Linked DNA regions of Rattus norvegicus. The protein of the gene in region 3 interacts with the protein of the main gene of each other region in a biochemical or structural test. Links are inferred from orthologs where the notes say so. Each region holds a gene or a part of one and is shown on either strand. Other genes may lie near its edges. The genes, in order: Scn5a, Rps6ka1 and Ptpn3.

Evidence for each region.
Region 1: the proteins of Ptpn3 (region 3) and Scn5a form a complex in vitro, tested with the Homo sapiens proteins (2 studies listed by IntAct, with this or other methods). The link is inferred for Rattus norvegicus from reciprocal best matches to the Homo sapiens genes PTPN3 and SCN5A.
Region 2: the proteins of Ptpn3 (region 3) and Rps6ka1 interact in a test that uses a peptide from one of them, tested with the Homo sapiens proteins (2 studies listed by BioGRID and IntAct). The link is inferred for Rattus norvegicus from reciprocal best matches to the Homo sapiens genes PTPN3 and RPS6KA1.

The regions. Positions count from the first base shown.
Region 1 is NC_086026.1:128,147,933-128,151,576, forward strand, and holds part of Scn5a (sodium channel protein type 5 subunit alpha), read right to left. Parts: intron 3,332-3,644; coding exon 3,134-3,331; intron 2,520-3,133; coding exon 2,340-2,519; intron 1,799-2,339; coding exon 1,427-1,798; intron 1-1,426. UniProt on the Homo sapiens protein: Pore-forming subunit of Nav1.5, a voltage-gated sodium (Nav) channel that directly mediates the depolarizing phase of action potentials in excitable membranes.
Region 2 is NC_086023.1:151,381,462-151,385,105, reverse strand, and holds part of Rps6ka1 (ribosomal protein S6 kinase alpha-1), read left to right. Parts: intron 1-832; coding exon 833-913; intron 914-1,098; coding exon 1,099-1,178; intron 1,179-2,792; coding exon 2,793-2,899; intron 2,900-3,644. UniProt on the Homo sapiens protein: Serine/threonine-protein kinase that acts downstream of ERK (MAPK1/ERK2 and MAPK3/ERK1) signaling and mediates mitogenic and stress-induced activation of the transcription factors CREB1, ETV1/ER81 and NR4A1/NUR77, regulates translation through RPS6 and EIF4B phosphorylation, and mediates cellular proliferation, survival, and differentiation by modulating mTOR signaling and repressing pro-apoptotic function of BAD and DAPK1.
Region 3 is NC_086023.1:76,818,313-76,822,542, forward strand, and holds the start of Ptpn3 (tyrosine-protein phosphatase non-receptor type 3), read right to left. Parts: upstream 2,910-4,230; 5' UTR 2,821-2,909; exon of another isoform or gene 2,048-2,820; intron 1-2,047.

The DNA.
Region 1 (3,644 bases), on a different chromosome or scaffold from region 3:
TGAAGGACCCAGATGTCTCCGCAGCCCTTAGGGGTCTTGAAGTTCCTCCCCTTACTCCCTATGTAGGGCTTGGACTCTTGGCGAAGCATCCCAGAAGCCTTTGCTCACGCGTGTCAACAGCACACAGTAACGGTAACCAGTAACATGCTCAAGCGGCCAGATCTGGCCTAAGCCCTGGACCTGTTTCAGCTCCCTTGGTCCCACTACCACCTGCTGACGTACGTGTTAAATCTGATTTCCACTTTGCAGGAAATTGAGGCTCGGATGATTAACCCATATAAAGACCCACAGCTAGTGGCCATGTGGACCGGGCCCTCCACCTTCCTGACCAACATCCCATCGTCCTGTGGTTTCCCCATCGTTGTATCCTGCCTGTGTATGTGTGAGCGACACATTCAGGCCTTTCCTGAGCGGGCTTTTCAGGCACTGGTATGAGGAGTTGCAGGGGCCGACCGGGCAGTCACCAGTGTGCCACGAAAGACCTTCCGTGACTGTGACCACCTTGCTGACAACAGCTCATTTGGCTGCCTCCATTCCAGCCTCACTGCCCTCACGGTGCCATAAGCCAGACAGGCTCTTCCCCAGGCTGTCTGCCCTTTTGCCGTGTGTGGCGCACTTTGGCATGGAAAGCATGGTACTGTGACATTTTTAACAGTGCCGATTATGTTCCTGTATGTCTTTGGCCCTGCCTACACTGGCCACGTTGGGTAATTCTCTCCTATTCTACAGATGAGGCACTTAAAATCCAGAGGAGCAAAAATACGTGCTAAGAGTGGTCACGCTGCGATCTAGAATCCATACCTAGGCTAATGTCCGGAGCTTGGGCACTAACCACTCTACCCACCAGCCCTGCCAGACGTAGAAAACCACCCCGGCTCCTCTTCTTGTGGTTGCTGCTTAAATGCCTCTACTCTTCCTGCTCCCCACTCCCAGCACTTACTATTTTGGCTGGCATGGAGTTACAAGTTAGTAAAGTAGTGGACTGTTTCCTACTCACTGAGTGAGTGCTGTCTAGAATCCTCTGTGGGGCCCCTTTGCGACCTAGCCCTGGTCCCAGGCTTGCCTGGATGTCTTGTTCCTGTCCCGCTGATGCAGAAGGCACATGACACAGCGCACGGGGTCTGGGACACTGCTCTACTGTGGCACCTTGGCACTGACTCTGCATCAGGTGTGAAACCTGACTCCTTCCCTCACTTCTACACCACACATGTTTACATAGACACTTTTCTTTCGGTCTTCTCCTTTTTTCTCTTGACTTGTCTGCCTGCCCAGATGGCACGGAAGCTATAAGGGAAGAGATGTTCTGAGAATGGAGCACACGCTAGATGCTCGATCAACCTTCAGCAGGCAGTTTTGAGGATGGTACCTATCACCAGTTTGGGAGACAGATCTGGGCTGGTGCTCGTAGGCCGGGGGGCTGGCTCACCGTGTCTGGGGGTCGGTCCAGCACCATAGGGCGGAGAAGGTAGCTCCCTGGGGAGGTGGCCTCTGCGTCACCTGCCCCCAGCAAGGAAACCACCCCATTGCAGTCCACGGTGCTGTTCCTTTTGCCATTGAGAACGTAACCGGGAGCTGAGGCTCCAGGGCCGGGCTGTCCTTGGGCGCTGGGATGGCGCAGGGGCCAGGGTACCAGCAGCGATGTGCGGTGGCTCTCACTCTCCCCCGCAGTGCTGTTCTCGTCATCTGCGAAGTCCGCCTCAGAGCCTTGGTCCCGTCTTCGGAACGTGAAAATGCTCCCTCGGCTCGAGCGGGGCCTCATGGATGTCCGGCTGAGCCCATGGGTGAGGCTGAGCTGATTCTGAGGGCACAGGGATGGTGCGTGACCCACAGGGCTCAAACTCTGCTTCGGCCAAACTATCATGGTTGGTGTCAGCCCAGTTCATGTTCTGAGGGCACCGAGGCTTCTGCTGGCCACAAGAGCCTGGGAGGGCTGAGGTAGGGACTTAGGAAGAGATGGGGTGTCCCCTGTATCTTGTGGGATCTCTGCTCATTTCATCCCTGTATCTCTGGGTTTGACTCTGAAGCTGCTCTGGGCCTGGAGGGGGCCTTGGCTGGGCAGGAGAGCTAGGATCAGCACTTGGGCCCCTTTCACCCCACCCCACAAGCCCCCACTCCCAGTGCTGGTCCCCATACTTGAGGACTAGTTCCAGGTAGGAGGAGCATTAACACATAAATCCACCCTAACTCTCCCCCACTTTAAGAATGACTACAGGAAACTGAAAGGGATGGGAGGGGTCCAAGCCTGTCTTTTGTGGAGATTAAGCTTAGGGCTGTGGCCACACGGGGGGCGGGGCCCACCATGATGGGCTCTGCAGAGGCCAGAACCACATCAGGATTACCAATGCTCTGGGACCATCTTCTGAGTCCGACTTGGGGAGCCTGTCATCCCCACCATCCTCTGTCCCCGAAGATAGTCGTTTCCTCCTTTTGCTCTTTCTCTCATGGTTGGTTACTGGGGCCAAAGGAGACATCTCCAGAGAGCTATGGGACACGGTATCCACACCCCTGATGGTGAGAGCCTGGTAAAGGATGGAGAAAGGGTGTTTGGTCATGGAGAAACTCTGGCTAGCTTCAGACCTAGGCGAGCTGCCCCATCAGACTTCACGATTGACTCAGAGTGTGGCCTTCACAGAGTTGATCCCAGGCAGACCCACAATGCTTTGAGAAAGACCAAGAACCTGGAAGGGAGAGTAAGTAGCCAAGTCTGATAGCTACCATGAGGGAACCTGGATGTGGGAGCCAGGGCAGGGCGGCCCATGCTCCTCTTCAGCCTTGGACTTTCCTCACTAGCCTATCGGGAAGTATCCCTCCACCAGAGCAGGCTACACGCATGGACAAGGATCTTGTACCAGGCACGGGCTACGCCCACAGAGGCCACGCTTACCAAGACACTGTCACCTGCACCCCACCCATTCTGTGTTATCTTTGCCTAGAAAACATAGTGGCATAGGAACCAAATTTACCCATTGCACACCACACCAACAGGGCCATCTCGATCAGCAGGCACCGCCTTCCACTCAGAACACACCCCCTGCCAGTCTTACCCAGCATGCACTGCTTTCCACTCAGAATGCACCACCTGCTAGTCTTACCCAGCATGCACCGCACCTCCAGCCACCGCTCGAGAGCTCACCTCGTGTTCCTTCTTGAGCATCTCCATGGCCTCCTGGAAGCGCTTCTCCTTCTCTTCCGTCTCGGCGATGGTGGCTTGGTTTTGCTCCTCGTAGGCCATGGCCACCACAGCCAGGATCAAGTTCACCAGGTAGAAGGAGCCCAGAAAGATGACAAGCATGAAGAAGATCATGTAGATCTTTCCTGCGGACCTCAGGGTCTGGAGGAGCAAGGGGTCAGAAGTCACCCTCACTGAGGGCCCAAGTCATGGTATTTTTAAGTCACCAGTGTGGCTAGGCCAAGGGCTCAGTGTCCTAAAGCCTGGAGGCAGAGAAAAGCGTGTCCCACCTGTGGAAGGTCACTTGCTAACAACCCACAGGAGAGCGTCCCACTTAGAAGGAGGCAGGTACCTCACCTTATGGGGAGACTGTTGTATCTACAGAGAATGTTCTGTTGTACAGGGCAAAGGGATAGTTCATCCACAGAATAGTGTCCTCTATCACGGACTGGAACTTAGTCACCAAACCTTTCCT
Region 2 (3,644 bases), about 75 Mb from region 3:
AGTGACTGGATTAGTTACAACCACACAAGGCCCCTGCCACATCTAGTGAGAGAAACATAAGAATCAAAACACAATAAGATGCGTCTTGACGTCTTGATGGGGAGTGCCAGCTTGTGGGAGCCCAGAGGTCCCAGCCTTGCCTGCAGGGTAGGGATGCTTCCCCGAGGCCGTAAAGTCTGAACTTAGTCAACCAAAAACCTGCTAGTGGTCGGAATTTGCTTGGCATCTTTTTTTATCCCCATCCCCAACCAGACATTCCCGAGACTTGTCATCGAAACGCAGGGTAGAGGTAGAGCAGAAGGATCAGACATTCAAGGCCAGTGTTGGCGACATCATGACTTCCAGGCAAGCCTGACCTACATGAGAGCTTGTCTCAAATAATCCTCCCCAGCAACTGGAGGAAAAGGAAGTTAATAAAACAAGGGAAGGAAGGCTGCTTAGACCCCAGAATGGCGTTTTAATATTACACTTAGAAGCTGTTGTGGAGGATCGAAAGAGGCTTGATAAGTGTGTGCTGAAGGGATACAGAGTCAAAGGCCGGGGACCTCAGAAAATTAAGCACCCTGGGGTACACGGTGCTGCAGGGTCTGGTGGTGGGTGAGGCTAGACAACTGAGCAAGACACAAGGACTATGCCTGGACGTCTCCAGGAGACCAAGAGCCACCTGAGGACCCAGAACATTCCAGAAGGAAAGAATTAGCTGAACGTCCCAAGGGTGAGAGCACCCTGGGGGGGCCTTGGAAGGCTGAGGGAAACCTCACCTAGAGGTGGACTTTGGGGAGAGGCTGTGTTGGGTGTGTTCTACTAGTGCCTTCTTTTCTCCTCTGGCCAGTGCGTGACCGTGTTCGGACCAAGATGGAGAGAGACATCCTAGCTGACGTGAACCACCCCTTCGTAGTGAAACTGCACTATGGTGAGACCCCAGACCCTGCCCAAGTGCCACTCGTCCCCTCAACGTCCACCCTCACCTACAGCCTGCTGCCTTCCTTGTCCCTTGTCCAACTTCTCACGGGCCTGGCCAAGGAGCCCAGAGTAGAGGCATTTGTCACAAGCTGACACTGGCCCAGCTGATCCCACATTGGCTTCCTCCTCTCTTAGCCTTCCAGACCGAGGGCAAGCTCTATCTTATTCTGGACTTTCTGCGTGGTGGAGACCTGTTCACACGACTCTCAAAGGAGGTAAGCTAGCATCCCACCGCTGGGGACCTGACAGAGAGTCCCATCCTGGGCCTGTGGGGAACACTGTCATTGTGGTGCGGCCTGGAACTTCCCGGCTCTGTTTGACAGTCGAGAAATGCCACCTGCCTCTGAGAATTTCTCTCAGGATGGGCTGAAGATGAACGGGGTCTAAAGGTGACACTGCTGTGATTTCTAGTTGCCGATCCCTCAAATGCTTGAGATAGACTGTGTGCTGGCCGAGGGGAAGAGGTCCAAACCCACCCAGGAAGCTAAAGACTTTAAGGTCCTTGTCATGTTGTTGATATAAAAAAAAAAAATACAATACAGGCCTCCACCGCCACAGGAAAAAAATACAAAGGGCCCAGTAGAAAAGGATCTGAACGTCATTTCTCAAAACCAAGATCATTAATACAATCCAACCATGGGAGAGAAGCAAGCTTGACCAGGCATTGTGGCACGGGCCTTAAGTTACAGTTATTTGGGAGACTGAGGCAGGTGGATTACAACATGAAGGCCTGCCTGAGTGACTAAAATATATATGGCTGAGATGTCAGTCAGTGGTAGAGAGTTTGTCTAGAATATACCAAGACCTGATTCAGCCTGGGTGTGGGGAAAGGTCACTCTTTCTGAAACAGCACCGACAGCAAACTTTACATGGGGACACACAGACAGACTCGTGGGCACACAGGTGTGCATATAAAGGCCAGAGGACAACTTGTAGGAATTAGATCGCTGCTTCCACCACATGGGCTCAAAGACACGCAGCCAGTCTTTACCCGGGAGTCTCACTTTCTCAGAAACTTACTTTCAATATTTAAAACATTAATGCTCAGCTGGGCGGTGGCGGCAGCCACACCCTTAATCCCAGCACTCGGGAGACAGACCGGGTGATCTCTGAGTTCAAGGCCAGTCTCGTCTACAGAGCAAGTTCTAGGACAGCCAGGGCTCCTCAGAGAAATAATGGTTCATCAGGCAGTCCATTTTCATGATTCAAAAGAAAGATATGCACGGTCAAGTCTTAATCACTACACAGTCCCTCTACCCCCTGGAAGTAAACATTTTTTTAATTAGTTTTTTTTTTAACCTTCTGTAAATAAATCCTACACATGTTCTGAGTCCCTACCCCTACTTTCTTACATGAGAAGTATTCATTCCTGCGCACTGTCCTGTGCCTGGCCTCGGGTGTCAGTGTGTCTCAGATTGTTCTGCATCAGGACAAGAGCAAACTCCTTGTTCTATGTCATGGCTGCAGAGCTGCCCTTCCCCCCTCCCCAACTGCCCCCACACCCCTCCCTCCACCATCCCACTACCCCCTCCCTCCCCACCCCCTCCTGCGCCAGGAGAGGCGGTTTATTCCAGTCTTTTATTCCTGGGTGTTTCCATTCTTTGCTGTTTCCAAACTCCAGCACAGCGAGCGACTCGGGTATTAAAGATATTGACTCTTTATTACAGTCCGTCTATACAATTAGACTGCGTGTTAGAGAAAGATTAGAGGAAGTTGCATTGCCTACGTCCCCCCCCCCCCCCCAAGCACCAAGAGGCTCCACTGCCCAGTAGCCCGGCTCCTCGGGAACAGGGTGTGCCAGTGGATGGGTGTCTTTTTCCCTGTGGCAGGTTATGTTTACAGAGGAGGATGTGAAGTTTTACCTGGCTGAGCTGGCACTGGGCCTGGACCACCTGCACAGCTTGGGCATCATTTACAGAGACCTCAAGCCTGAGAAGTAAGCGAAGCCCCTGCCATACTCCCGCCCTTTCTCCCGGGTGCAGGGACTGACAGCCCTTGGGCCTTTTAGGACTGGGCCACTCACTCAGTGTGTGGCACTCCCCGGGAACTTATCTCTCTTTGGGGCTGTCAGAGGGGTGGGTGGTTGCAGTGGTTGGCCAGCAGCAAATTCACCGTAGATAATTAGGAAGTGCCTGATAAGTGTGGCTATTACTAAAGGCCGCAGGGCAGCTGTGGGCCCCACCCAGACCTCCTTCCTAATACAGTGTGACATCGGACATGCTGCTGTTAAAAGATCGCTTCTATTTTCTTTCTTTTTTCCCTTTTTTGGGGGCAGGGGGTGGTGTTCAAGACTGGGTCTCTCTGTGTAGACCTGGCTGGCCTCAAACTCACCAAGACCAGCCTGCCTCTGCCTCCCGAGTGCCGGGCCTGAAGGCGTGTATTACTACCGCCCACCTCTAAAGATCATTTCTTTTTTTTTTTTTTTTGGTTCTTTTTTTCGGAGCTGGGGACCGAACCCAGGGCCTTGCGCTTCCTAGGTAAGCGCTCTACCACTGAGCTAAATCCCCAGCCCCTAAAGATCATTTCTTGATCTGTTCATTCTGGGGTTGGCCAATGAACTGCCTTCCAGTGCTGTCTGGAGAGCTGGGATAGATCCTGTTGGTAGAGTCAGACACATGCTAAGTCAGGCGTTATGGTTCTCCGCTGTGGTACCAGCTGCTAAAGAGGCTGAGTCCAGGAGT
Region 3 (4,230 bases):
ATGACCCAGTCCTCCCTCATCTGCAGCATGAGGGAAAGGTACCAGAGAATTGGCCCACACACCCACTAGCTGAGCCAGACTGGGGTACCACCAGCACTCCTGCCTGCCAGAGTCTGAGGAGAGGACAAAGGGCCAGGCTTTGCTTTCCAGGAACTGACTGATGTAGGAAGGTGAGCCCTGTAATTACGGTCAAGAGGAGGACCGCAAATCACCGATCCCTTCCCAACACACCGTTCGCCGGGAACTGAAAGGAAGGAGTATACCACGTCTTAGGGCTTCTCCAGCAAGGTACACCCGTTCTAGAAAACAGTGACTCTTGCACTCACAGACTTGTGACGTAGCTTAGACGGCCACAACAAGTTCTCTTACTTCTGGTCTCTGTTTCTGCTAGCTCACATACGTGTGGTGTGTGTTTCGGGGAGGGCACAACACTGTAATTAAACTTCCAGGTCGCAGCCAACAAAAAGCAGAGCAATTAGCATCCTAGGACTGAGATCAACCTACAACCCCGACTTCTTCCTGGGATAAGATCTGTCTATGACCTTGTCTTGCTGGCAGGGAGTTGAGACCTCAACAAACATATTTAAAGCTACCATACCTTTGCTATGAGATCAGGTAAAATAAAGGTTCGAGCTGAGATCTTGGCCCATCACAGATCTGGCCCTGGATTCCAGGTTGTGGTGGAGGGGTCCCTTGGCTTATTCACCAGTCTTGCCTACCCACAGCCCAGCACCAACCAAACAGAAACATTTGCTCACAGACAAGCCTCAGCTATTCTAAATGCCCTCAGTAACCTCCCATCTGCCATTCGTGTCTAATTTGCATGCACTAGTCTTTGGAGGAGACAAATCACCAGGGACGACACAGATCAATACAGAGTATTAGGCATGTTTTATTCTATTCTAATTCTCAGCAGACTGCTATTCCATTAACTGTATGCTGGGATTTATGGGAACGCTCATAGTCTAGGATATTTAACTTGAATGGCCTGCTCTCTGTCAGAAAATAGCTTACCATTGTTAATGCTTCCAGTTTCCAATACAACTTAGATCTTGATTTAATCATCAAGAAAGACATCTGTGTAAGGCCTTTCTACACCACACATGGCAGTCTTATCCAGAAGAAAAAGCTCTGTCCCCCAGAACCAGAAACCTTGGTTTTCCTCCATTCCAGTCATGCCCAGGGCGGTACAGTTGCCTGCTCAGAGCCTCAATGGGCATGACACTAGTCTCAGAGGGAGACCTGTAAAGCTGAAATGAGATAATCCACATACCCAGCACAGCTCCGCAAGGTGAAGTTTCAATGTTATCAAAAAACCCAAACCAAACCAAAACAAACCAAACCAAAAAAAAAAAAAAAAACCCTCCAGACGAAATCCTCATTGCCCGCCCAGGTTACACAGAAAGCAGAGGCTATCTCAGTTGATTCTACTAAAAGGAGGAAGAGTGGGGAGAGGGCAGGGAGGTGGGGAGGCACTTCAAACCCAGACAATATATAGAGGCATTCCTGGTAGGCAGAGTTGGAATCGGGCTGCTACTGAGCACAGTTCGGCACTCTATAATGTTCAAGGGGCACCCACCACAAAGAATGTTCAAACCGGCTGTGAGACGCCAACAGACCCCGATCCAAGAGCATAAGGTTAATAAGCATGAGAGCTTTGCAACACAGGCATCTTTTTCCCAACCAGGTTTTCCAATTCATCCGCTTCAACATTTGCAACACGAATCAGCTTGCAAAAATAGTTCTTTCTGTAAGTGAGGCCAGAGTGACAACTTCTGGAGTTTCTGAACTCAGACTGCCATTAAACAAGAGGCTCTCAGCTCACCAGCGCTAGTCTCAGGAGACGTCTCCTGGGCACAAACACAGACCCAGAAAATGACTGCCTAATTCTACCTTCCTGACGAAATGGGAGCCACGAGGGTCTCTTAACTGAATTAAAATCACATCACGCCAACTGCTCGCTTGCGTTGTGCCGGGCACGGAGCCAAACACCTCCACACCATTTATCCTACTTAATCCACCACCAGCCAGGCGAGGTGGGCAATATTACTGCCTGCGTGCAGGGGAGGAAATGGAGGATCAGAGATGTTAAACGACTCGTCCAAGGTCACCAACTGGCCAAGGGGAAGAGCCCAACTTGAACCTAGGTCTCGCATTTCCCAACCACAAGTTCCCTGTACCTTCACGGAACACTCAGGTGCCAAGTTATCTTAACTTCTCATGAATTTTTTAAAGGCAACTCTCAAGTTCGTAATAAGTTTAGGAAGCAGCAACCCGGGGCGAGGATTTCCGGGGCGCTCTCTCTCCCCGCACAACGCAGCAGAGTCACCGCAAGTTGTCAGAGAAGCCACCCCGCTCGCCCGCGGAACGAGGAGGATTGGTTTGGCACTGGAGTTCGTGCCAGGCCCAGGAAATGCCATCTTTGCAATCTGGGGCGAATTCGCCCTGAGTGGCTGAACCTCGCGGACTACGGGAAGCTGGATCCCCGCAGCCGTGCGCCCCCTCTGCTGGGCTGCGGATACCTCGGCGCCGAGCCCAGGGCTCGGCCAGACTGGAGCTCACGCCCACGCCCGCGCCGCCGCGTCCAGAATGCCCAGCCTTTTGCCGCCCACGCCCCGCCCCAGCCCCGCCAGGTGATCCCGGCCTGCACCCCCCGGATGCCCGACGTGGCGCGGGGACCCAGGGCTGCCAGCACTCCCACTAGTCCTCCCGCGTGTCCGCCGAGCCCCGGACCGGGTGGGGGTGGGGTGAGCCCCGCGTGTCCGCCATCGCGGCAGCCCGCGCTCCGACCCTCCCCGCGGAGGACCCAGTCTCTCATACCTGCAGCATCCGGGGGCGCCGGGCGCCCAGGTAGGTCGCGCGGGCGGGCGGCGCGGAAGCTCGCTCGCGCCGCGACCTGGCCGCTGTCTGAGCATGCCCAGTGCAGCCCGCGGGCGGCTCCCGCCGGCCCGGCTGTGGCCGCGATGGGCCCGCGCGCGGGGCGGGGGACCCGGGACAGGGGCGGGCCCGGGGCAAGCCAGTTCACGGGTGGTTCACGGGCCTCCGCGGACCACCTGCCGAACTCCCGCACACTTCCAAGTCCCCTGGCTCACGCACACGGCCATTCCCTTTAGCATTTACTGAACACCTACTGTGTGCTTGGCTTTCCGGGATTGCATGCCTAGGAATGGCAAGAGCTTGGCGCACAACGAATCTGAAATGACAGCGAGCCTTGCTCGGTGGTTCCGTGGCTGAGTTGGGGGTTGCGCCGACTCCAGCGGCTCCGTGGCTGAGTTGGGAGTCGCGGGGCTCCTTTGCTGGCCCTAGGACGCCAGGAAGGTTAGCCCTTCCCAAAGCCTTCAGGGCCCCTAGTGGCCGGCGTTCCAGCCGGCCTCTTCCGCCTCCTCCCACACCTGCCTTCCTGCGCTCAGACTGCACCTTCCTCCCCATCACACCCTCTGAACTTGACCCGCCTCGAGACGTTTACACTGCCTTTCCCTCCGGGTAGGACGCCTTTTCCTCTGCTTTGCTGGTGCCCTGCGCCCTCTAATCGTTCAGGTACCTTTCGTACCTTTCCAGCTACCTTTCTAAATTAGCCCTGACCTCTTGCTCCTCTCCAAGTCCTTTATCGCCTTCTAAACAGTATCACTCATCCATTCAACAGTTACTTACGTTCTTCACACTTAATATATAGACAAAATTTCAGTCCCTTGTTGGGAGTTTGGAAGGGAGTTTCTCGAAACAAACAACAGGTCCGTAAACAATGCAGTGTATTAGGTGATAAAATTCTTAAGAACAGGGGAAAGGGGCCAGGCAAGAAAGCTAAGGAGTGGCCCGGTGAGAGCTGGTGGAACAACCAGATCAGGTGACAAATAGCATTCAATCACACAGCTGAAGGAGGAAGCTTTCTCGGGACGAAAAGGCCGGTGTAGAAATGAGCGCAAGCTCTGTGCCTGTGAAACAGAAAGGCGAGCAGAGGGGCAGCTGGAGTCTGTTACCGGCTGTCTTCTGGACTTAGATTCCCCCTTAAGGAGTACCACCCTTCAGTGTCAGCTCGGTGGCTCCGCCTCTCAAGAGACCCAGCCTCTAAAGGACGCTAGGCTTCCAGTTAGAACTAAAAACGTTTTGGTGAATGAATATGTTAACAAAAGGATGGAGAGATGGTTAAGACCTGGGTGCTAGATATCCTGAGAACCTTTTGTTCCCATGTCACCATGAGACCCTCCGCCGTGCCTGACGTCCCAGTCCCTG